4 linked regions of the Arabidopsis thaliana genome follow. The protein of the gene in region 2 interacts with the protein of the main gene of each other region in a pairwise test. Each region holds a gene or a part of one and is shown on either strand. Other genes may lie near its edges.

Region 1 (5,699 bases), on a different chromosome or scaffold from region 2:
TGATGAAAAATACAGTTCTTATTTGTGTGTATGTTCCAGGGATATCCTGATATGGTTCTTAAACTTGAAGAAGGAGAAGAAGATCTATGTGAAGGGCTTAACTTGGATGATGCACCATTAAACTTTGACGTAGGAGATGATATTATCGGATGTTCATCAGAAGTACACATAGAACCGGACCATACGGTACCAAATTGCCTATTGATTGACAAGACTAACACATCCAGCTTTACCGGCTCCAACTTTACTGTAGACAAGGCTCTAGAGGTCTCTTTCGCTTTTTTGTTGTCGTTGTTGTAGTTTCTAGTACCTCAAGAAAGTTTCTAATATAAATTGTGTTATTCTGTTTCCAGGCATCGCCACCAGGTCAGCAAATGAACATCAACACTGGACTTCAGCTTCCTCTATCACCTGTCTTGTTCGGACAAATCCATCCATCTCTTAACATCACTGGTGAAAACAATGCAGCTGATTACCAGGATTGTGGGATGTCTCCAGGGTTTATAATGAGTGAAGCGCCATGGGAAACGAATTTTGAAGTTAGTTGTCCACAAGCAAGAAACGAGGCTAAGTTGAGATACAAGGAGAAGAAATTAAAGCGCTCGTAAGTTTATTACTAATCATTACAAAACAGAGTTTATACCAACTTGGATCAGGTTTAATGGTGTTTTTCTTTTTTTTTAATTGTAGTTTTGGGAAACAGATTCGATATGCATCTCGCAAAGCAAGAGCTGACACGAGGAAAAGAGTGAAAGGAAGATTTGTGAAAGCTGGTGACAGTTATGATTATGATCCATCATCACCGACGACGAACAATTGAAATTTACAAAAATAATGTACAGTCTTCTTTCCCAAACAGACTTAAACCATGCTTCATGATGATGATAAAGGTTGGTAAAAACAGTTTCTTGTCGGGAAAGTAATGTATTGTTTGTCTTATTGTGTATAGTTTTTGTGAATCGAAGAAATCAACATGTTGAGGCATGGGAACGTTGGAGAACTAAATAAAGTTGGTGGAAAGCCAAAATGGTGAAAATTATTTAGTAACTTCTTTTATTTACAGAATCTCTTTTGTTTTTGATTATTTTTAAGTTGGGTTTTTCCTTTTATAGGACAAATCCTAATTTATCTCTTTATAAATAAATTTCCTAGCTGTTTTTTTTTTTATTAATAATAAAGTAGCAGTGATTACAATCTGCTCCATTACAGAGCTCGCGTTTAACGTGTTTCAAGAGAACAATTCTCTACTTATTAAGCATTGCATTATGAAGATGTTTCACTTGCAAAAAGTTTAGTTATTACCCCACTGGTTTAGAACCAATTGGTTCTTAGTTTTGAATCTTAACCTTATTTTAAATTAAAATGTTGTTTTTACTAAGTTAAGAAAAGTTAGGAGGAAGTTTAACTAATTTCTATTTCAATGGTTAAGAACTATTGGATTCTTAAAAAACAACAATTCAAAAATGTCTATCCACTCAAAATACAACACATATACTCTTCTTAGTTTTAAGAAAACATCTTAATTAAGATGTTTATCTTAGCTAAGGTTTGTTGTTTCATTAAATTTAATCACTTTTATTGCTAAGAATACAAGGCTGGAGTTGCTTTTATGTACCTTTAAATTAAGGAAAATGACAAGTCCAAAGAAGTAGTGAGAAAGATTTACTACACTAAAATAAATATCTAACAAAATACCAAACAGAGAGTTTGGTGAGTTAATTTTTTTTTACAGCAGTTTTATGGAACTTTTTGTTTGTTGGTTACAAACATTGCTTAGTAGAAAAAAGCAAAAGATTCGAAGAATAACTCAATAACAACAAACGATCCTTGTTTCTTCCCTTTCTATTGCAGATATTTTTTGCTATTTTTAGTCACTACCCATTTCTTAAAATTCTTTTTTTTTTTTCATTACACATTTCTTAAAATTCTAAGCTTCATAAAATTAAAATTTTCAGATTTTTCTTAAAAGAAAATTGCATAAAAACCCTAGAATATTTATAGCTTACACCAAAAAAATCTAATAATCAGAGAAAAACAAACGGAACCTCATGATTATCTTGTTCACTTCTATTCTCCACGGTGGTTTCTCCGACCGTCGTCACCGACGGTAAAACAACGTGGAAGTCATGATCTCCGACGAGGCACCGGCGCGTGAGTTTCTGACAAGAAGTGCATAGCACGCGCCTTACGTGTCTCCAAGCTAGAAAATTCGCTCCATGAACCCACCGGTCACATTTTCTACAGAGGAACGCCGAGTCCGCTTCACAGAACACGGAGGCGTCTCCGTCGCAAAGCTCACACCTTACCGGAACACTCGGTCTCGTGCAGAGACTCCGGCAACCTCCTCCGTCACTTCTTCTGCTCTCTTCATTATTCAAGCCTCTACACATTTTTCTCAATCTCTTTCTTGATCTGTTTCACTTTCTCTTTCTTCTGGGTGATATTGAGGAAAGAAGATTTGGGAATAGGAGAAACGTTTATACATTTATATAGGAATCTTATTTCTTTAAAACTAATGATGTGTTTGTGTTGTGTTGTTGTTGGACACGTGGATGAATCTTGCCCTGTTATTTTGACGTAAATGCCCTTATGAGGGCAAAATCGTTAATTTCAAAATTAAAAACGCTTCTCCTCCAAGCGATCTCTCGACCTCATATTGGACGCACAACTTTAAAATTTTCGAAACAAACTCCGTTTTTTTTTTTTTGCAAATCGAAACAAACCTCTAGTACGACTTCTTTTGGTTTATATCACCCACCACTTCAATGTGAATCATTGTTTTTTTTGTTTTTTGTACGATATGATGTTATATGTATCTTATTGTAATGTGATTACGGTGTACGATAAACCAAACTATTGAGAATTTAAAATTTTAATAGATGCACCGAAAGGTTAACAAACAATCGATTCTATAAACAAATATGAATGATTGCGAATTTAGTTAATTACGATGGAGTTTCCTTGTCCAAAGCGAAAACATATATAGTCGTGTAGTTTATCTCTTTTTTTCCAAGGTATAAATTTTGAGACATTTACATGATATTTAAGGTTCTAGAACTAGTTGGATAAAAAAAACCGGCATATATTATCATTCGTTTCTTAGCACACCTTCATTTTCCTATTGAAATTTGTGACAGAATTTTCTAAAATAATTAAGGGATTGTTTAGAGAAAAAAATTAAAGATACTACAAGTGATTAGTGGAGGATAGGGGGTACGCATAAGAAACGGCTAGAATTTAGGGTGATATCAAGTATCGTTGTTATTGGTTGTCTTTGGGACATTGTGTGGTTGTTAGTCAGTCAACTCTTAATTAATTATATAAGCTTACTATCAGAACAAGCAAAGAGGACTTCACTTGTATGGTTCACATTTAAAGATTTTTTTTTGGGTTGATTTATTAGTCATTTATTTGTTTAATATTAGTGAAAGCTACCCCACGAATTACGAATAATATCAGTTAATTAAAAAGGTTTGATTATTTTGAATTGCTATACATTGCGTGTGATTGCTTAGTAGTACGTATATAAGTAATCGAAAAGCATTTTAATGTCACAATATTCGATTTTGTAGTTAGCATCACATTATTCGTAAACAGTGTTTGTAAAATAGTGAATTCATTTAGTAAGTGTCTTAATCTATTGTTAAAGCAACCTAATAAGATTAATTACATACTACAGTTCGGACGAAATAAAATAAAGTAATTAGCAAAATATGTTATTGAATCTCTTTAACCAAAATTATAATATAGTTATTCGTTGTTGCTAAAATATATCGTATCGGTTAAAACATAGCAGCACATCATATCTATCGCCATCGTTTAGACATGTAATGATCGGAGTCATACATTTCGTTAACTTAAATTCTACTAATAGTACAAAATTTACGTGAAGATAGAGATAATTATAAAGCATTAAATGATCAAAAATATCTTCAATGATGTTATTAGATTTTTTAACTGCATATATATGTTTAATATTGAAGATTAATTAGACCAAATTAAAACCTTGACATTATGTAATATATAATTTGAGTAGGTATTTTCCATTTTGGACGTTCAACTAGAGTTGTTGTTCTTTATGCCTCCAATCTTGCTTCGATTCGGATATAATGCAGAAAGTTATACTGAATCAAAGGTAGGTTACAAATATGTTTATGTGAAGAAAAAAATTTCAGTTTTTGAAAGAAATATAAAAGCTTGAGAAATAGAAAGACTAGAGTATATATGTACATCTCATTATATAATCGGTACATAACCAACTGGTTTCTGTTAAACCACAACCTGTAACACTCTGTCTCTAATACAAGTAAGATCGGGTATTGGCGGACTCTACTCAGAATAGAAAATACACATATTGTCTTATACCATTTTATGAAGACTATATATCTAACTTTTTACATACACAAAGTATATATATAACAAAAAAAAAACCCACGACATTTCTCTACAAAATTTAAGATAAAGTAGTGGGTCGTATGGATTATTGACTGATCAAAAATACGCACACTTATTAGACGGACTGAAATAATAATGAGACGAAAATATTATTATATTTGTATGTTTGATACGTTATGGAAAAAAAAAGTGATGTTGTTGTTGTCCACAAGTTGATTCAGTGTTGATGCATAAGTCCACTTGTGTGGATCATATTGGTTCAAAAATCCAAAAGCTTTTTATTTTCTAATTTTGTCCTCAGATTTTTCTGTCTGTTCTTTATTGTTGCCTGTTGGTACGAGACCTTAGCCGTCCAATCTTTCCAAAAGTATGTGACCATTATTTTTTTGCAATTTTAATATTCAGATTTTTTTTTAGTTGGTACGTAGGACATATTATCACATTTACGCATGTATACGCGTAACTATAACCCTGGCTAGTTTATAAAATATCTTTTTATAGTTTTGATCGAAGTTGAAGAAACTTGGACGGTGATATGAATATGATATCTTATGCTAAATCATTTTGTTGTCTAAACGATTTGCGTTAGTAAAAACGATTGTCCAAGAAAAATATAAGCTATATATGAGCCTATATAGTATGTAATGAAACAAACTATTTAACATAAAAGTATATATAGACTAAAAAAAAAGAGTATATATAGAGTTCGGGGTATGTTGTAAAAAGGCCATTGTAATAACTTATTTATCATCAACAAAATCCAAAAAGCTAATAGATCTTTGAATTAGAATTAGTAACTTAAATAAATACTATCATTGTCTTGAAATCAAAACAGTGTGTATATAAATATATGATCACAAGTTTGGGAGAAACATCGTTAAGGTAAAGTGGATACGAGAGATTGCAATTTTAAGAGAAACATTAGTTGGATACATGAAGAAACTTATATCAAAAATTCATCTTCAAAAATGATGAAACAAAAGGTGTGTATGGAAGAACCAGATGGTCAACTTGACACATATTCCACTGATATTAATAACTGTTTAATCTATGACTTTGGAAGAGCAATGATTCTTTTTTCCTATAGAAGTGAGAGAATGTTCATATTAGAGAGAAAAAAAATCTTTGATAACAAAACAAAATCCCTTGTCTAGTTGTGGTCTCAAGTAGAAATTTTTGTTTCACTCACTTCCAACTTGTCTAAGACATTATATGTTCCCAAGCGTTTAAACCACTGAAAAACTTCCATTCATTAAATAAAGCTTATAGGAAAAGATGCAACAAGTGTATGACGTTAATGTCTA
Region 2 (6,920 bases):
TTATCCGAACATTATTTTAGCGCTTGGAGTTTCGAAGTTACCTTTTCTCGCCACCTTTTGTTTTCTGGGTCTATTGAAAGATTGTCTCAAATTTTAAAAGGATAAGAAAAACACAATTCCATTAACTTTAATCGTACAAGTGAGAGTGTTAGAAATTGTGGTTAAACAATGATCAATAACCACTAACCATTTCGTAAAATTCACCGACGACTTTATCAAATGACGAACATGATCCGATGGATCCACGAACTACCGAAAGAGAAGTAACCTCAGAACTATGTAGAAAAAGCAATCCTATTATTCATTCGAACTAATTCAATATGCAGCTAGTTTTTTGGTCTAACGACTTCTTATCGTACCATTTTTCATCTCTTATCATTTTTACCATATTCAACCATACCACCATTTTTATCACTATTTTGTACAGTTACAAAGCTCTTACCGTCTTGCGCTATTAATCGGACCATTAAACAACTTCACATAAAATTTTATATTAGACGTTTGAATTTAAGTCGAAGTTTTGATAATCTTAAATGTAACCCCTAAAATACAGTCGATAGTATTTGATGAAACAACTCCCTCATTAAAAATCGATTACTTTTATAAAATAGCTGTAAAATAAATGGCAACCCAAACGAAACAAAAAATATCTATCCCCCGAAACATATTACATATACTCCACATCTTTCATATATGTTTGTTTATCGGTATGTCTTTAATATTATCTCTTCTTACCCCAAAATTATACAACAATCTTTCAAATTACAGACCACTTTCATGGTCGTTGGAAAAAAATAATTCTTCCATAGTCGAGAATATGATTTGCAAAAATGTTATTAAATAATAATCATTCAAAGTATCTTAATAAAAAAACAAAAGAAAAGTGGAATTGGTCCATAACGGTTCGGGGAACTTTTCTATGAACCGGAAACTGAAATTCGTGAGGACGGTACACGTGTTAGGTAAGAACACGATCCGCTCGTGTGTAACAGCCAATGATGTCGTCATTCCACGTCGGTACAAGACTTTTTTTTTGTCGTCAACAGAAGATTTCAAAATTAACGAAACCGTTCCCATAACCGAAACTCACATAAAAACAAGACACAATAAATAAAAAACTTTAGGTACTTTTCTGTCGTTTCTTTGGTTTCTAACGTCTATTCGTGTTATATTTGTTTTATTCTTCATTTATTATTGTTGAATTTAATTCTAGTTCGAGTTCAGTTACATGATTTCTCTCTTTAATCTCTAGTATTTTAATCCATCAAAATTATGTGGTTGCATACTCGATCGAGTTTAGTACAATTACTAAAATATGTAGCTTTGTTTAGTCATATCAAGACTATAGTAAGTTGTTACGCATGAAAGATAATTATTACATTCAAACGAATGACCACTCAATTCTTATATCAAAAAGATACAAAAAACTAAAGTCTACAACTTATAGGTTCAATGGGAGCATAAATAGTCCATATCATTGAATAATAATGGTCTTCAATAGAGTTGGTTGTTCAATTATTATTTTTGGTTTATAAGAAATGAATTGAACTTTTGTTTGTCACCATTCACATTTTCTTCTCTTTTTTGTACTTTTAGTTTTCCTAAAAATTAAAAAAACTATGTTCCCTTCGTACCTAAAACTTACTTTAAAATAACCAATTTGATGATAGTTTTTTTTAAAAAACTTCAACAAAGATTATATATTTCATCCTGAAACAAAAATTACAGCAAAATTTAAATTTAAACTAGTAGCAAAAAATATAGGATGTGCATATGTTTTCTGTTTGCCACGTCTGTTTTCCATTAAATGTACGCACAACATTGTTTGAGTTCAATTAACTATTTAAGTAATAAACAAAAACAATGCTTGAATTTCACTGAATATAGTATATAAGTAAAAATGTATACACCCCAAACGACGTCGAACCCATCGTTCAAAAGATATTGAAGTACTTGAACTAGTTGTTGAGCTAATCATCATATTACTTTATAATTTAACTACACAAAACGAGTTCTTTGAAAGATGCGAATATATATATACACACTTATACGTTATGGAGAGAACAGAAAGCTCATAAAAGCAATTTATTTCTCTCCCTTTAAGATCTTTTCTTGCTTTGTGTCCGAAACAGACAAAAATTGATTCTGTTGTTTTTTCCCATAATTAACTCACACACACACACTTAACGTACGTGCAATATCTGTATGTGTGCATAGTATATACTATAGCCACACGAGCGGTTCAAAAATGTTTTTTGGAGTTTCCGAGACTGTTGAGACTGTGGGGCCTATGGTCATCGAACCCTCCCACACGCACGAGCGGGTCTCGTTTTGCATGCATCTACACTACACGTACCCACCGACTTTTCCAAATCCCTTACTTTTGCACGTGTAGAGAGAGAGAGCTTTGTACTGAAAGTATCTCATTATTCGAAATTTTTCGTGTAAGAGTAAAAACTAAATCGCAACGTACGTGAAGGAAAACGTGAACCTTGAATATTTAATGTTTTCGTGCGGTTTCATTTTAACTATTTAATTAACACAATATTAGTACAATAACAAGCAGCTCTTATGAAGATAGTGATGAAAAATTGTTATAGATCTATCTTGGAATTTTAATGATCGAATTTCGATTTTGTACGACCACCATCGAGGCATCGACTATAAATATAGTTAAAATGTGGTTGCTGAAAAAAAAAAAAAAATGATAAATAAAATGAAACCGCACGTAATTGTATAAAACCATTAGCATGGGATTATTAGGCCACAATTTGGTAATTAACACTTGTAATTCATTTGAATATGCTTTTACAAAACTTTCCCTTCAATTTCTTTTGGTGTGTGAATAAACAGCTATCAATTTTGTTTTTCATGTACATTAAATAACCACTCTGCACTCATCATCATTTTCTAAAATATTCTTCTATATATATTAACTAGCTTGCAAATAAATGTAAATAAAAATATAAATTTCAATAATTTTTTTTAGAGAATCTCTCTTTCCTCTTCCACCATATAAACAGTGAAAAGCCATTCAAGTGCTCTCTCCCTCTATCTCTCTTCTATTTTTAGTTTCTCTTCCCTTAATCCCTAAACCCAGAAACATGAATCCAAATCTCCTTGAGAAAGATCTAAGAGGTAAGGAAACTACAAATGGGTCAATAAGATACAAAGAAGCAAACAACTTCAGATCTCTACCAAACTCACACACTGCTGCTTGTAAAACTTCACTCAACAACCCCTCTATCTCTAGAAACCATCCTCACAACAAATCAGCCTCAGTCTTGGAGTCGGAAGATGAACATGGGAACGAGAGAGGTGAAAACGAAAAGAGTTTAAGAATGAGGGGCAAAAGTGGAATTAACACAAAAGTATGCTCACGAGGACACTGGAGACCAACAGAAGATGCTAAACTCAAGGAGCTTGTTGCCCAGTTTGGTCCCCAAAACTGGAACTTGATTTCTAACCACCTTCTTGGTAGATCAGGTACATTTATTTTACTTAAAATTCTTATTACTTAATTATTTCCTTCACTTTTGTTACTCCAAATTCCGCAAATTTAACTATTTTTATGTAGAAGAAAAATAAGTAAATATATTTAAAAACTTTGGTGAGTTGAGTTTCCAAAGTTATTAGGCATTTTCGTAATTGTGTTTGGATTTTTTTAAAAATAGTTTTTACAAGTTAGACTAAGTTGTATAAGGCATAATGACATAATGCTTGATAGTAACTAATTTTTATAATGTGAGGGACACTTCTTTGACTACAGGCAAGAGTTGTAGATTGAGATGGTTTAACCAACTAGACCCAAGGATTAACAAGAGAGCCTTCACGGAGGAAGAAGAGTTTAGGCTGTTAGCAGCTCATCGAGCCTATGGCAACAAGTGGGCTTTGATCTCTCGTCTCTTTCCAGGTCGTACCGATAACGCTGTCAAGAACCATTGGCACGTCATCATGGCTCGACGGACTAGAGAAAGCCAAAGACAACGTCAACAGCCTCCTCCGACGTTGTCAAGAGACGCTGAAATGACGGTTTCGTCCTCTTGCCGCTACAATCAAGGTAAGTTCATCAATGAAGAAGATGACGACGACGATGTGTCAGCTGTCTCTACTTGTACGACGGAGCTCTCTCTCACTCCGCCTTCTTCAGCTTACCAGCCTCGCTTCTTTAATTACGATAGTACCCTTGCATCAGGTAACATTTTATTTATTTGCTTAAATATTATGTTTACTATGTTTTTTTTTTTTCTCTATTGAAAATATATTATTTTCATGACCCAAGACATTAAAAGTATAGAAACTTGGAATGTTTTTTTTCGTTTTCGGCTTTCTTGAGAAGTGTTTTCGTGAATCTAACTATAATGATCTCGGTCGGTTGGTCGAGATCGTATTGCAATCTTTATTGGGTGTATCGTTGATCATGATCGGTTTATACTTTAACCGGTACTTCCAAATATCATTTGTGGTCTAAATTTAGCTTATTAGATTCCAGTCTTGTTAATTTTTGAATGTTCAAAGCATATAAAATGATAATTTAGGCCGACATGTTGTATAACCGACGACGAGTGACCACTTCCTACACTTTTTCATATACATGGCAATAATTATAAATTTGAATGACTAGAAAAGAAAGAAACTGTTTTTACATCGTAAGAGTACCTATAGGCATAATAATATAAGGAGGTGAAGTACTATTGTCACGTTACTATTTCAATATAACAAAATTTCACGTGGGTGCTGAGAACTTATTTTTCTAATTTTGCAGGCAAAGATGGTCAGTGTGTGCAGAGAGCAGAAGTAAATGGCATATATGGTAAAAAGATGGACCATCAAAATCACCACACAATCTCAGTCAGTGAAAGAAAGGTGGAGATGAAGATGAGGAGTGGCTATTACTACTTTGATTTTCTTGGAGTTGGAGCTTCCTGATTAATTAGTTGCAGAGCTAGGGTTCAATGCTGAGGAATTGTGAGATAAGAAATGGCTTTAGTTTCTTCTATTTTTCCTGGTTAATTAGGCATGTTTGTTTAACATCTTAATTTGGGTTTTGGAAGAAGTAAGCGGTATGAGGGAAAACTGAAAACAAAAACAAAACCTAGAAGTAAAATAAAAAGTTGAATATATAATCAACCTCTTTTCTGTAGAATTAGAATAAGTGTTCATAAAATATTGCAATTTTCCTTACTCACACACGCAAATTTAACATAGATTATGAAACAATAGCAGTAACTAAAACCAGCGAGTTATTTTTGTTGGTAAATTACAAGCTTTGATCATAAACCTATTGCATTTTATAGTGCATTACATGAAGGATGTTATCTGCTATTTTTGGAATGTCACATATATAAATAATTCAGGAATTTCTAAGTAAATAATCAACGTGGGAAATGAGTTCTTGTTTAAATTTAAAATCTCAATTACTCGGCTCGGCTCGGATCCCTATTATCGGATACCAGCTACATTGTTAAGTTGGGCCTAGGACTACAAAAGAAACCCATATATAGACGTACCTTTCATTTACAAAGGGTCCAAAAAGCTCACATAGAAGTGGGCTTACTCGTTTCTTGTCGTAATTTTGAACTTAACCCTACCCTTCTTTCTCTGTTCAAAAAAAAAAAAAAAAAAAACCCTACCCTTCTTTCATTATTATATCAAGTTCACAAAATTGACATCCCCAAGAAGAAAAAATGGTAACTAGCGATCTGTGTCGAGTACTGTATTTGTACTAGTGTACTTTACAAATTGCTATTCATATATAGAAATATACGCACTTTGTTAGTGATATGATTATGATTCGCATTTAAATCATTATATTTGATTTTTCTGTTTAAAAAAAAAATCATAATCATATTACTTACACACTTTACTTTTGGCTCTCTCATTCCGTCATTCATTTAGTTCTTTTTGTTCGTTTAATTGTTCACTTGGTTAGTTAAGAAATTAAAAATGTTCACTTGATAAGATATGTTAAATGTTATCCTCTAGGATAAACAGAAATAATAATCCTCGATCGAGAATGGTATAAAGTACCTTAATACCTTTCATCCATTGGATAAATAGATTAGATCAGCTATGTACTAAGATGATCTATTTACATCGAAAAATCAAGATTTTTGTACATACCAGTTTAATTTTTTGGATTATCTTTAAATATATCAAGTCCGAGGGACATCTTTTTTCCACAAACTAGATCTCTAATTAAGATTTGGCTGTGGAAAAAAAAAATATTAAGATTTGGCTTGTTTTGATAGATAAGGTTTGTGTTCAGGCGAGCAAGAATCGACAAGAAAGCAAAATATCTGACGAGTCCAACATTTATTTAATCTTTTTATTATTACTTATTTGTAATCTAATTATACACGATAGACACGAAATCAATAGAGGTAAAAAAGAAAACAATCGACCGTATATGTTCCCACATAAAACAGCCAGTTCATGTCTGTCTCGGTACCTGTCGATGACAAAAGGAAAACAAATAAAAACAGATTCTTAATTAGGGAATAATTAGAGCATTTTAATTCTTAAAACTGCTAGTTCACTAATTACTGATAATATTGAAAAATGAAAACCCTAACGAGAAATGGTTTAACATCATTTTATATATCCACCGTCTATTCTTTTTTCTTCTTTTTTTGAGCAAAGACACCGTCTATTCATTTGCCAAGAGAGAATATAAATTCCCAAGGTCTCTTCGACCAATGAACTCAATATTTTACAAAATTACTCAAAAGTGGAGTTATTGGTTCTTGTGTTTTTGGCTATATTCTTTATTTTTAAAAATAAATAATATATACTACATATTTATATTTATCAAAACTTGGACCAAATAAAAAAGGTCACATATATACATCCATATATATGAGCTGCATCAATCCGTAAAGCTTAGTTAAATCACAAAACTTCAGTTACAGATATTAATT
Region 3 (5,549 bases), 2.8 Mb from region 2:
TTACTTTTTTAGAAAGTTTGTGGGGAAACAAAATCAATTTCCAAACAGGTACGTCGAATAATCATTATAAGGTTTATTCGATAGAGACCTCGATCCAAAAAAATAATATCACGTTGAGATTCTAATGTGTATCAAATAATATTGTTTTGACACATTTTGTCTCATATAACTGGTTATTTTCTTCTTTTACTTTATTTGTTGTTAATGGATCTCGGAGAATATACATAGTCACGTAGTCAATTTCCACTTGTTACCAAATCAACTGTGATCGCATGCATTCCTACGGAACTTTGAGTTAAATAGTTTGGAACATCTTTAAAAACTGTATTTCTTTCACCTCAAAAATTTACTTTTGGAATTAAATTGTAGAATTTATGTATGATAACAAAACAATATTTGAGAAATAATTGAGATTCTGTCATCTTAAACTTGAGAATAATGAAATCTATGTCTACAAACAAATTATCTGTACCATGCAAAGAAATCATCTGTAGATTTAATAGAAAATAGTTTTTCACGATTTGAAAAGAAACCTTATCAAATATAAGTGGTCATGCAATTTTGTGCTTGTAATTTGAGTAATATAGCAAGTTAATTTGAGAATGATCAGATTTGTTGTTTAAGAAAGAAAAAAACCTATAAGGATTATCAAATTTATTGTGTCGAAAAATAAATCATCTATTGCATGCAAATAATTAAGGTGGCAAGAAAATCTTTAAATCCAAATAATTCCTAACGTCAAATCATTTGTCTGCTGCAATTTAGATGCATTGCATGTGTACTGGTTATATCGCAACGAGCTTTAACCATATTGAATTGCCATTATTTAGCTATTTTGGCTTGTTGCTAACAACTGATATTATATTATCGCGTATATGTATGCAAGAAGAATCAACCGATCGTCAAGGATATATTAAAGCCTGCTCATGTTATGTTTTCCATTCTTTGCTAGAGAATATTTTTATTTTCGTATTCAACCTTAAGGTAGTAAATGTAAATCATATTTTGTTACAAAAGTTAAAGTAGTGGTCGGAAAACACTAGTTTCCTTTTATTCGCATTACAAACAAAACAAATAAATAATAGGTTTGGACTGTTCGAAGAACAGAGTGTTCTAAGGAAACAGAGTAATTGCAGTCAAACACCTATTTTATGTAGCTAAATTATTTTTTCTATTTTAATATAAGGTGCTAGAAAACACAAATCCCTCTAATTAAAAAGTTGGATTTTATGGTCGTCAAGCCACAGCTAGGGACACTCTTTTTCTACTTAGCAGCAATCCCAAATTACCAAAAATAAAAATAAAAAAATGAAGGCCCACCGTTGAAAAATTAGAACATGCATGGAACAAAACCAAAAGCTAACTCAAAATATTCAAACTCTCATCTCTCTTCACTACTTTAGATATCTTTCTTCTCATTGTTGTATCTTTTCACTACATTAAATTCCCACTTTTTCACACACGAACACATGTGTAATTTTTAGTTTTTGGTTTCAAGTGTTCAATTGGTTTACATGGAGAAAAATCAGAAAATAACATTTTTTTATAATACTATACATAACATAGCATATGATCGATTGCTCTTATAGAAACTAGAATCAGTGTTTCAAAAGAGGCCAATTCAGATCAAAATGTCTTGAAATTAGCCTTCTCTCACTACTACTCTCATCACTTACGACGCCGTTTTTGTGGAAACAAAAATAAAAATGAAAAGAATACGCTAAAACGACAAGGCCATTTCTCACAGCGTCTGAGTTGGTAAAACAGAGCAAAGCTCAATGGAACCGTAGTGAAGCAGCTCCTCAATCATTTGCTCGATATGATCTTCCTCCAATGGCCTAAAATTCTGTTGCATATTCGCATTTCCATCTTCCCACTTGATCTCTGTCGTCTCCGTTACTCCTCTGTTCAAATGACTTTCGTTAGCCGTCACACCGTCACTGTCCGCGGATTGTGATCTTGCGGTCTGCGTTTGCGTTTGTGTTTGCGTTTGCTTGGTCATTTGAAGAGAAGCCATGTAGCATTTGTGGAGTTTAGCGGTAAGAGTTGCTGATAGAAGCTTGGAAGAGGAAGTAGGAATGGCATTAGGGTTGTATGGGAAATTAGTACGAGCTCTCGGGCCACACATTAGCCTAGCCGCCTCGTCGTAGGCCCTTGCTGCATCCTCCGCTGTCTCAAACGTCCCTAGCCAGATTCTTGTTTTCCTAAAAAAAACAAAAAAAAAACAAAAAAGTTTAGCATTACTCAAATAAAAAGCGACCGAGGGTAATTTCGTAATTTGAGAGGATGATGAGGGAGAGTTTTTACAAGAGAGGGTGACGAATTTCGGAGACCCAAGAGCCCCAATGCCTCTGTCTAACGCCTCGAAAGCGTTGTTGTGGTCGTGCCATTAGTGTGAATGGTAAATGGAAATAGGGTTTCAGGTGAGTTTGGTGTGTTTGTGGAAATGTTTTGAAAGAAGAAAGAATGATGAGAGTGAAGGAGCGTTTTTGGAAGAGTGAAGGGTAGCTATATAAGTAGTGTTGGCTTTAGCTTCATGAGAGAGAGAAATGTTTTTGTGTTAAAATTTTCTTTGGCAATAAACTGGCAATCAATTTGGTCCTAAATTGGACCCACACCATTACCAATACGACTCAGAAAATCTCATGGATTTTGTTTGATGTGAGAGAGAGAGTTATATTAATTTATTTAACTTAAAGTATTCTTAAATTTACTTCATTTGTTGTATTCGAAGTTGCTGCGACATGGGCAAATGGATTATCTAATTCTGTCACATATTATAGTGAAAATTGAAAGCTTCGAAACTACATGCTAAACTGTCGGAAAAGTGTTTTTTTTATTTAGAGATATTTTTTGGAAAGTATTATCGTAATTTATCTAAAAGTTAAAATAGAATTTAAATTATGAATTAACAAACTTATCACAGTTTTTGTTAGAATACAAAATTACAAATGTTCAATAGTTTCATATGAATTTATTTCTGTAACAAAAGCTAATTTTTTATCAACAAATATAAATTAATTAAAACGGTTTAGAAATCAAACCTAAGATAATTTAATCCAAACCTTTTTCTTTTCCTTTTGTCCCAAGTTACACATATTATACTTAGACAATTATAGTTATAATATCCTAAGTTATGGGGTATTTTTAAGATAAAACTAATAAATAGCTCTAAATATAATAACAACCCTACGTATATAGCATATATATTTATCAATTATTTTAATTTTCCCATTGTGAACAAGTTGGATCCAAAGAGATTTGGCTGCGGTGAAACTTCAAACCCACTGTACCTATTTTCACATGGGTTTGATCATCACAACATGTCTCTATATCATAGATACTGCCAAATTTTTCCCCAACTAATTAATAATAACGATAAATAATTGGAAAATATATAGTTTGATAACTAGCGAGACTCTTTCATCACCATTCTTCACCCATGTGAGCCTTTGATAATGACTCAATCAAACACCCAAAACCATCTTCGATTATCATCTTCTCTTTTCCCTTCTTTAATATTATTTTGTATTGTTATTATTGAAACAAACCTTAATGTATTGTCATCATACCCATGATTTCTGAGTGTACAGTTTACCTACGAGTCTGCGACCTATTAAAAAAAAAACTCTAATACATTATTTTTCAATTAAAAACATAGGTTTAATAATTAATAAATATGTGATTATGCCCATTACTGAAACTTGGAGAGGGAATTAGTATAATATTGCATAAACTTATCTACAATTTTTAGATAGTAGTATATGTTAATTGTATAGGGAATGTCACATAGTAACCACTTCTTATTTGGGTTTATATATGGATGTTTTTGTTTGCCAATTTATCTTTTGTTCGACAAAGTTTCATCAAATAAAAGTAAAGGTTATGTCGATCATATTCAGTCGCACGCATATTTAAAAAAAAAATAATCTCCAATTGAGACTATATCCTTTTAGAGTCAATTATAATTGGAATAAGAGGTAATAGAAGAATATGTTGGGCAAAAGAGTGTGTAGGTAGAATGGATACATCAAAATAACAAGTGCCAAATATTATTAGTTCAATCCAGTATCAAATTGATGAAAGAATCCTAGACCGCAATTATGACGACAAGAAAAACAACTAGAGAAGGTCATTAACTTTTTATCAAATAATTGATCATTTTCACCCTACTAATAATCATTCTTAACCCTAATAATTATTCAACATATGCTTTTTTTTGTCTGTATATTTGCATCCATGTCCATAAGAAAACGAAAAAAAAGAAAGTAACTTATCTCTCTCGGTGGTGTAGTAAAAGAAGGATGGTACTGAATGCTAATATCAGCAAGTTACATAATGGAAATATATATGTACCTTTGAAATAACAACATTACTACAACTGTAATTTTAATTAAACAAAAATAATTTTGATATGTCTAACATATTCGCTTTTACTTAGGTAACTATTCTTTGTTTCATACGTGGTTTAATTGTATTGGTCGATCAAACAATATAGCAAAGCATGTGAGGGTGAGAAGCTAGCTAGCTATAACAAAGACTGTTTTTATTTTAAGTTGCATTGAGGATTTTGTCTCTTTGCTACTATTTTGGCACGTGTGAGTAGTGATGACTAATCTTCCAAGTTTCAACTAGTACCATACCTCTGAAAGAGAAAAAGTATTCAATATCTATCTCCCAAATGCATGGCAATGAACAACAACAAAATAAATACACAATGTTCATTAAAAAATAGATTAAACAAGGTATCATCCTTATAAATTGTAATTGAAGCAAATTTGTCAGATTTACACACACAAAATGTGCTACGGTTTTGCAACTCTTATAATATGAATTTAACAACTAGATCATTCGTTAATTATGTCTAGATTGTTTGTCTTTATAGCATAGAGGCTCATCATATGTTTGGTGACTCATATTATATAACTTATCTTAATTGTTTTTTTTTTTTTGTCGACTTGGAGATAATGAGAAACTCGAATATATACAATTATCTTTAACCATAAAAAAGGAAAACATTTAACAATTAGTGTTTTGGGACTACATACAAAGTTATGGGAAAATCAGACAAGAATTATGAATAAATATGAGTAGGGCCTAGGTCGTAAACGCGTGACATGGGACCCAAAACGACATAGATAAACATGGGTGATGAAATGGTTTTGATTGTGATTCATGTCCTTTTCTTTCATTCAGCTGTAAATTAACTATATATACCAAAATCAATCTATTTTAAAAATTATTTTAAATAATCACACTCATATAATATATACTTTCTCGGTTCTAACATATAGTTTTGTTTTTTTTAACCGCGAACATATAGTTTTGTGCGTTGCATTCTAGTTACTTATATGTTAGCATACACATTTCAGATCAGTTAGTTTGAAGAGTAACTATTCAAGGTCACTTCTTTATGTTTTATGATCATCGATATTAAAACCATTAACCAAACAACAACTTCCTCCAACACTTGTTTGTGAAGTCAAACGAGTCCTTTAAATGTCATAGATGATTGAAAATGACTTTCTCTAGTCACACTATTTGCGCTG
Region 4 (6,620 bases), on a different chromosome or scaffold from region 2:
CGGACATGGACACAAACCCCATCTTAATGATAAGTCATAATACAATGCTATTAGTTCTTTATAATTGCTGTAAATTTTGAATATAAATTTTTTTGATAAGAATAGATTAATATTGTGTATTGAGCTTCACACACATCTTAATATATAAAGCAAAATTAATTCAGTTTTTGTTAACTTAAAATTATCATAAAAATCAAAAACTCGCACAAAGGACGGGTTCTAATATAGTTGATATATATGTTTTACATCTTTTCTTGCTAACATTCTACTAATATCTATATATCTACATAAAAGTACTAGAGAGAATTACCTGCAAGTGAGATTTGAGATATACACAGATGAGTGTATAATATGGTCAGCGGGTCAGGATATGTAACTTTTGTTTGATTATGGGTTTGAAAATGTGCAAATAGACAGACATTACTTCAACTAATTGAGAATAATGTTGGATCCGTATTTGTAGGAATAAAAAATAACTGTTAATTAGAGGTTGACTTCACAGTTCACAAGTCGGGTTCGGGTGTACAAGAATCTTGTCAGGTCACACCTAACTCTTATGATCGTCTCTTAGTTTTTTTTTTCTTTTTTTTTCACAGGCTTAATGGACCCTTTTGTCTAATTTGATGGCATATCTCACAAACCATCCAGTTCCATGTTTTTATAAACATGCTTTTTAAACCTTTAAAATGAAGGACACAAATTAGGATTCTCGGTGCAAAATTGCATGTGGACGTGTAGAAGCAGAAGGAAGATGGAAATTAAGTGTAAAGAAGAAAGGAGTGGTGACGAGAAGCTTGTGAAGGATCGATGGCAAGTCTCTTTACACGTGGGGGGAATGACAAAGTTCTTCTTTTTTCTACTTCATCAAAGCTTACAATTTCCTCTCCTCAACAACTTTTTTTGTTTTTTTTGGTAGGGAACAACTTTTTTTGTTTGGCTAGCAGAATTTTATTTACTAACTGGAAAATATGAACTTAAGCCTATAGTTTAATCTCATGAACTCATAATCTCCATTTAATTCTGCAACGAAGTTTTATTGGATGGCATGTACCCGAATCTATAGTAGATATATACAACTGGAAAACAGTATTGTATATTGTTTTCGTGATGCACCAAAAACTTATGATTGAAATTTACGTAGAAATAAAACAGTACAATTTGTTAGACATGTTAATAGAACTGATCTTGTGAGTGCTCATATTTCTTGGAATTCCAAGAGGACTTCGAAAGCATAATTGGATCTAAAATATATTATATCATAAGCATATATACGTGAGAATGTATTTATCTTATTGTTTTCATAATAGAAGTGGTAAAGGTAAATATTCAAACTAATTGTCGAAATATGCGGAAGAGGTAGTATTCAATGGCTTACGATGACTAAAATCGTAATTACAAAAATCACCATAAACTCGTCTAAAAAGACTTTCTTTGCAATTAAAATTAAACCATATAGGACTTCGATTTATACGGTGTCAAATTTTATAACTATGTATGTTAATATTACATATTTTTGGAACGAACGATGTAAAAAAACGGCTCAACTAACAACGCTATTCATCGCTTCACGGGGTCGGATGTGTAACGTAAACCAAGCAAGGACCACTTTACACATAAACTAATTCTCTCATACGAATCTACAAAAATACATATAAAGATAATATATAATTTTGGGGTAAGAGAGGAGCATTGTCCCGTGATTCTCGTCGAACAAAAAACAGAAAAAGAAAGAAAGAAAGAGGTATGTGTGATGATGTGGTCTACATCAAAGACAGCTGAGCAGTCACACGCCTTGTAATCGTAATTTATTCGTCTATCTACCACTCTCGCTCTTCCATTTTTTGCCTTTAGCATTCAATTCCACGCAAAACCCTAAACCTCATAATCTCATCAAAAAGTTTTAAAGATAAATATATATGAATCTACCCATTAATCAATATATTAGTTAGTATTGTGATTTATCACTTTCTAAATACTAAAAAGTACTCAGAAGATTAGAAGGTTGATTTTAAAAATAAATTTTCTAACTAATTTGATCGCTATATCAATAGAAATGAGAGGATTTAAAATCCATCAAGTATAGTTCACTTCGATAAATTAATATTTTGTATAAATTGATTCATGTCACGTACTGGATCTTTTAAATCGTTGAGGATCAAAAATTATTTTGCAACAAAAAGAAAAACAGAAGGAAAAGAAAGTTTAGTTAACATTAATTTTAAACCAAATGTCTTAAGAAAAAGACAATGATCTCGATCATCAATGATCCTAATTCCGACAAAACTACTCTGAGGTATATTATAATTTTGTGAATTCGATTTTGTATTTAATTATTTTTCCTGGAAACTGCATCACGGTATCAAAAAATTTAAAATTCTTCATTTTTTTGTTTTCTTCTAAACTCAAATAACGTCTCAACTATACTAATATCTTTCTTATTTTCTTATAATTATTAATTTTTTTTTTTTTTTTTTTTTTGTTGTTGTTGTAAATAGTCTTACTTATACTAACTAATTCATTCATAGACTGTTAGTCCCGATACATGAATTTTATCTATATCGATCTTTGTAATCGAAATGTTTGTTTGACGAACTAAGGCAATCTAAGACTACTAAGAATATGCTATATATAGAGCCTAATTTCTATCACACTCATCTTAGCCTTTGGTGAACAATAATATAGAATAAGTGTTACTTGTAATTTGTTGGCATGTTAAGGGTATAAACAACAATTTATCTCATTTATAGGAGTAATAGTTTTCTCCCTCCATGGTTGATATTAATATGCATCCACATATTAAAATATACAACTATTTATATATAGAGCTGTCTATAGTAGAAAAGGGCCGAAATCAATTAGCTGTGAACAGAAAAGAAAACTTTTTAACATATGCAACAAGATTTAGGTGAGGGTTTGTCTACATGTTCCGGGAAGAGAGAGAGAGAGAATCAGAAGTGTATCTTGATCTAGGGTTCACAGACAAAATCTCCATGCTTTGAACTAAGCAGAATTCATCTGGTCTTTTATCTCTTTCATATCAAACCAAAGGATTGATCTATCCATATCGTCCAAAACCTATATCTAGCTAAGCCTAGAACTTCTCTATCGTTTACCACTTTCTTTCTATATTTCTTCTGAATTTGTAACATCAGAAGTAATAATGATTCCAAGTATGGAGGGAGGCGGGAAGACTAACAGAGAAGAAGAGGAGGAGGAAGAGGAAGAAGAAGAAGAAGGTGAAGAGAGTAAGGTTTCAAGCAATAGTACAGTGGAAGAGAGCGACAAGAAGACTAAGGTTAGGCCTTATGTGAGATCTAAAGTCCCTCGACTCCGGTGGACTCCTGATCTTCATCTTCGCTTTGTCCGCGCCGTTGAGAGGCTTGGAGGTCAAGAAAGTACGTCCATAGCTACTAACTTCATCTTTCATCACCTCCTCCACATATATATAAAAGCATAAGCAATTTCTTAGTTATTCTTAGGTTAACTATTTGGTCAAAACCTCATGTGATTTTCTTTTTTTTAATGTGTATGTTTGGTTATGTATAGGAGCAACTCCAAAGTTGGTTCGTCAGATGATGAACATCAAAGGGCTTAGTATTGCTCATGTCAAGAGCCATCTACAGGTATTTGATCTACATACATCTAAAACGTACCTATATATGTGTTGTATTTTCGATTTCGTTTCAAATAATCTCTGAAATTAGAAAAAAAAAGAAATCACTAAATTGTGTATTGGAAAATTTTAGATGTACAGAAGCAAGAAGATAGATGATCAAGGTCAAGGTATTGATTCTTTCTATTTGTGTTCATTAGTTAGTTATCAAGTTATACATGTATAGGCCAATAAAGTGGGGTTTGAATTGTTGGCAGCTATAGCTGGTCACAAACATCTCTTCGAGACTTCCACAGATCGAAATATTTATAAACTAAGTCAGCTACCGATGTTCCGAGGCTATAATCATAACCATGATTCTCCATTCAGGTTGATATAACTTTTTTTTTTGAAAATTTTAGATTTTATGTGTTCCTTAATTTGAATGATATTCCGTTTTAATTATATTTATTCGGAAACTAAATTAATTGTCTTCTTTTGTTTTTGGTAGATATGGAAGTAAAATTTCAAATGCTTCTTTGTGGAACTCTAGCTCTCAAGGAACAGAAAGGAGTTTGATAGACCAAATTAGGCCCGGTTTAATCCGCAACGCGTCGGTTAGCAATAACATCCGTGGTAGTGATTATTGGACTAACAACAAGTCTTTCCAAAACATCTACTCTTCTTCAATTTCTAATCACTTTCCGAAACTACGACACGATCATCACGAACGGACCAATTCAGTCACATTCAACAGCATTCAAGGACACTCAAGAACTTTTCAAAAGTTCCATAACGGTGTTGAGGAGAACACTAATCATTCTTATTGTAGCAAGACAAATGGCAAAAGAGACGCAAGTAGGAGCATTGATCTTGATCTATCTCTTAAGCTAAGACAACCGGAGAAGACAATTTTGGAAGAGACAGAAACAGCAGCAACAACAACGGATCAAACGTTGTCCTTGTCGCTATGTCCAGGGTCGTCTTCGTGGAAAAAGAGCCGACTGATGAAAGATGAAGAGGATCGGACGGTTAAGATTGGTCAGGAGAGTACTCTGGATCTGACTCTATGAATTATATTTAAGAATGAGACAAATTCTAAGTGAGATCTTGAGGTACTTACCGATATCTTAATATTCAGTGTCGTTGTTGTTTATCATTAATCATGTATTTTCTTTATTATTAGAAAGGAAACAAAAATGTTTGATTATATTAACGGTCTTGAGTTTGTTTGATACCGCCAATTTGTATCATCACATATATAAACAAATATTACTAGCCACATCATAATGATTCGATCTTTTGTCTTCTCATAGCAATATACTATATGAAAATTACATATACATATAACAACAAATTTACATCGATTAGAGTATCTCTGCTGGTGAGCTTCATTCATTTGTAGATGAGACTTTTACGTAAATAGTACAAAAATTTTGGTTTCGTATTTATCCGAACAGTACATGGACAATTTTGTAGTTCCAAAACATGTTATAGTTAATAGTAGTGTTTTCAATAATTTCCAAAATCCATCTTCACTCATTTTTCCCTTTTCAGAGACATAGTGAAACAATTTTACACTATGCAAATCCGAAGCCAATTATTTTTGAGGTTTTTACTATATGTGAACAAGATTAATACTTAAACAACAAGACACACCTCGTTCTTTGTAAATATTAAAGAGGTTAAAGATCATAATACAAAAAAAAACATAGAAAAAGTTCACAAATCATCAAATCTTTTGAGTTCATTATTCTATATAAAATTTTATCTCGTGAAATGTTTATTGTATAAGGATGTGATTAGTTGCAAACCAAAAATTAATGTTTAATAGTATTTGATAGGGAACTTATTTCAACTGTGTAAAATTTTCCCGGTAAAATTTTCGTTCAATCAGTCGATTCTAAGAACATGAATCTTATTGAATCTCTAATAATTTATTGTATAATATGGTGGCACCTATACGTCAATACGATAATGACGTCGTTAATAGTAACGTTGAGAGTTGAGACTGTTGTATAATTTTGATTCGACGTGCCAAATACTACGTTCGACCAAGTATCAATTTTGATTTTCCAAAAAGAAAAAACAAGAAACTTAGGATCTCCGTTAGTTTGATTGGATACACTGATACTGTTTCGATATTTAGACAAACAAATGGAATCTTTGCTTCTTAAACATTCGATGCGTGTGTGTACCTGGTCAACTTCTTCAGACTTCATTATCAAACATGGCCGCACGATCAGTTTTATTTTGCTACTGGAGAATTAACTTATCCACCTCAGAATCTAAACTAATTTCTGAAACTATATAAGTGTTTTTTGGGGCTAAAAATAAGATGCATGAAGTGAAAGTATCCTAGTGGTTAAAAAGGGGTGTAAACATAACGTTTAATGTTGTATCCCTTTATATGTACCTCTAATGTCCCTCTTTATTTACTTTTAATGATTTTTAAGACTAAATATCTTCAGTTGAAGTAGGTAATCTTTTTGCCAAATTAGTCTTCGCAATACACGGATCGATTTCCTTATAAGATATTAAATTTAACTCATTCAAAAAATATTAAATTTGCAATGACTTATAAGATAAATAAAAACCAAGGTCCATATCTTATCCCAATTTGTTTTTTTTTTTTGTATACCAAATTTGTCTCCTATATTGTTTTTATATGTTTATATTCTTTCTCCTAGTAATTTACACAAAGAATTTAAGAAGCTTCATTGAAATATCAAGACTAGAATTGAAGAATGAGAAACATATCTATCAAACCTCGAAGACTTTTCTCCATCAAAATGTGCAAACAAAACACCAAACCCAACTTGTGTCTTGTCTATTCTACACACATTATTATAATTAAAGGCTTTCACACCTACACAAAAAAAATTCGTACCATTGACTATAAACATCACAAACCCAACAAAAATTTCATCAACTCCGGGAAAGATAGAATAACAAAATGGCCGGAGCTTACGATCCAAGCTTGCCGGAGGTTCCTGAATGGCTCAACAAAGGAGACAACGCGTGGCAG

What was found.
Region 1: the proteins of MYB56 (region 2) and BBX31 interact in a two-hybrid assay, tested with the Arabidopsis thaliana proteins (one large-scale study listed by BioGRID).
Region 3: the proteins of MYB56 (region 2) and ESE3 interact in a two-hybrid assay, tested with the Arabidopsis thaliana proteins (one large-scale study listed by BioGRID).
Region 4: the proteins of MYB56 (region 2) and AT2G38300 interact in a two-hybrid assay, tested with the Arabidopsis thaliana proteins (one large-scale study listed by BioGRID).

The regions. Positions count from the first base shown.
Region 1 is NC_003074.8:7,707,274-7,712,972, forward strand, and holds BBX31 (B-box type zinc finger family protein), read right to left. Parts: upstream 2,661-5,699; 5' UTR 2,391-2,660; coding exon 2,025-2,390; 3' UTR 1,560-2,024; downstream 1-1,559. Other genes in the region: BBX10 (B-box type zinc finger protein with CCT domain-containing protein), read left to right, coding at 40-267, 354-604, 691-820. UniProt on the Arabidopsis thaliana protein: Developmental regulator acting by forming heterodimeric complexes, that sequester CO and CO-like (COL) proteins into non-functional complexes. Involved in the CO-mediated long-day flowering-promotion pathway.
Region 2 is NC_003076.8:5,874,143-5,881,062, forward strand, and holds MYB56 (myb domain protein 56), read left to right. Parts: upstream 1-2,970; 5' UTR 2,971-3,104; coding exon 3,105-3,486; intron 3,487-3,769; coding exon 3,770-4,195; intron 4,196-4,765; coding exon 4,766-4,929; 3' UTR 4,930-5,189; downstream 5,190-6,920. Other genes in the region: WOX12 (WUSCHEL related homeobox 12), read right to left, coding at 6,434-6,451. UniProt on the Arabidopsis thaliana protein: Acts as a cell-specific local repressor of quiescent center (QC) self-renewal by cell divisions in the primary root. Counteracts brassinosteroid (BR)-mediated cell division in the QC cells.
Region 3 is NC_003076.8:8,705,266-8,710,814, forward strand, and holds ESE3 (Integrase-type DNA-binding superfamily protein), read right to left. Parts: upstream 2,621-5,549; 5' UTR 2,391-2,620; coding exon 2,308-2,390; intron 2,205-2,307; coding exon 1,742-2,204; 3' UTR 1,480-1,741; downstream 1-1,479.
Region 4 is NC_003071.7:16,042,220-16,048,839, reverse strand, and holds AT2G38300 (myb-like HTH transcriptional regulator family protein), read left to right. Parts: upstream 1-2,824; 5' UTR 2,825-3,160; coding exon 3,161-3,395; intron 3,396-3,546; coding exon 3,547-3,623; intron 3,624-3,746; coding exon 3,747-3,783; intron 3,784-3,870; coding exon 3,871-3,982; intron 3,983-4,103; coding exon 4,104-4,665; 3' UTR 4,666-4,892; downstream 4,893-6,620. Other genes in the region: AMT2 (ammonium transporter 2), read left to right, coding at 6,549-6,620.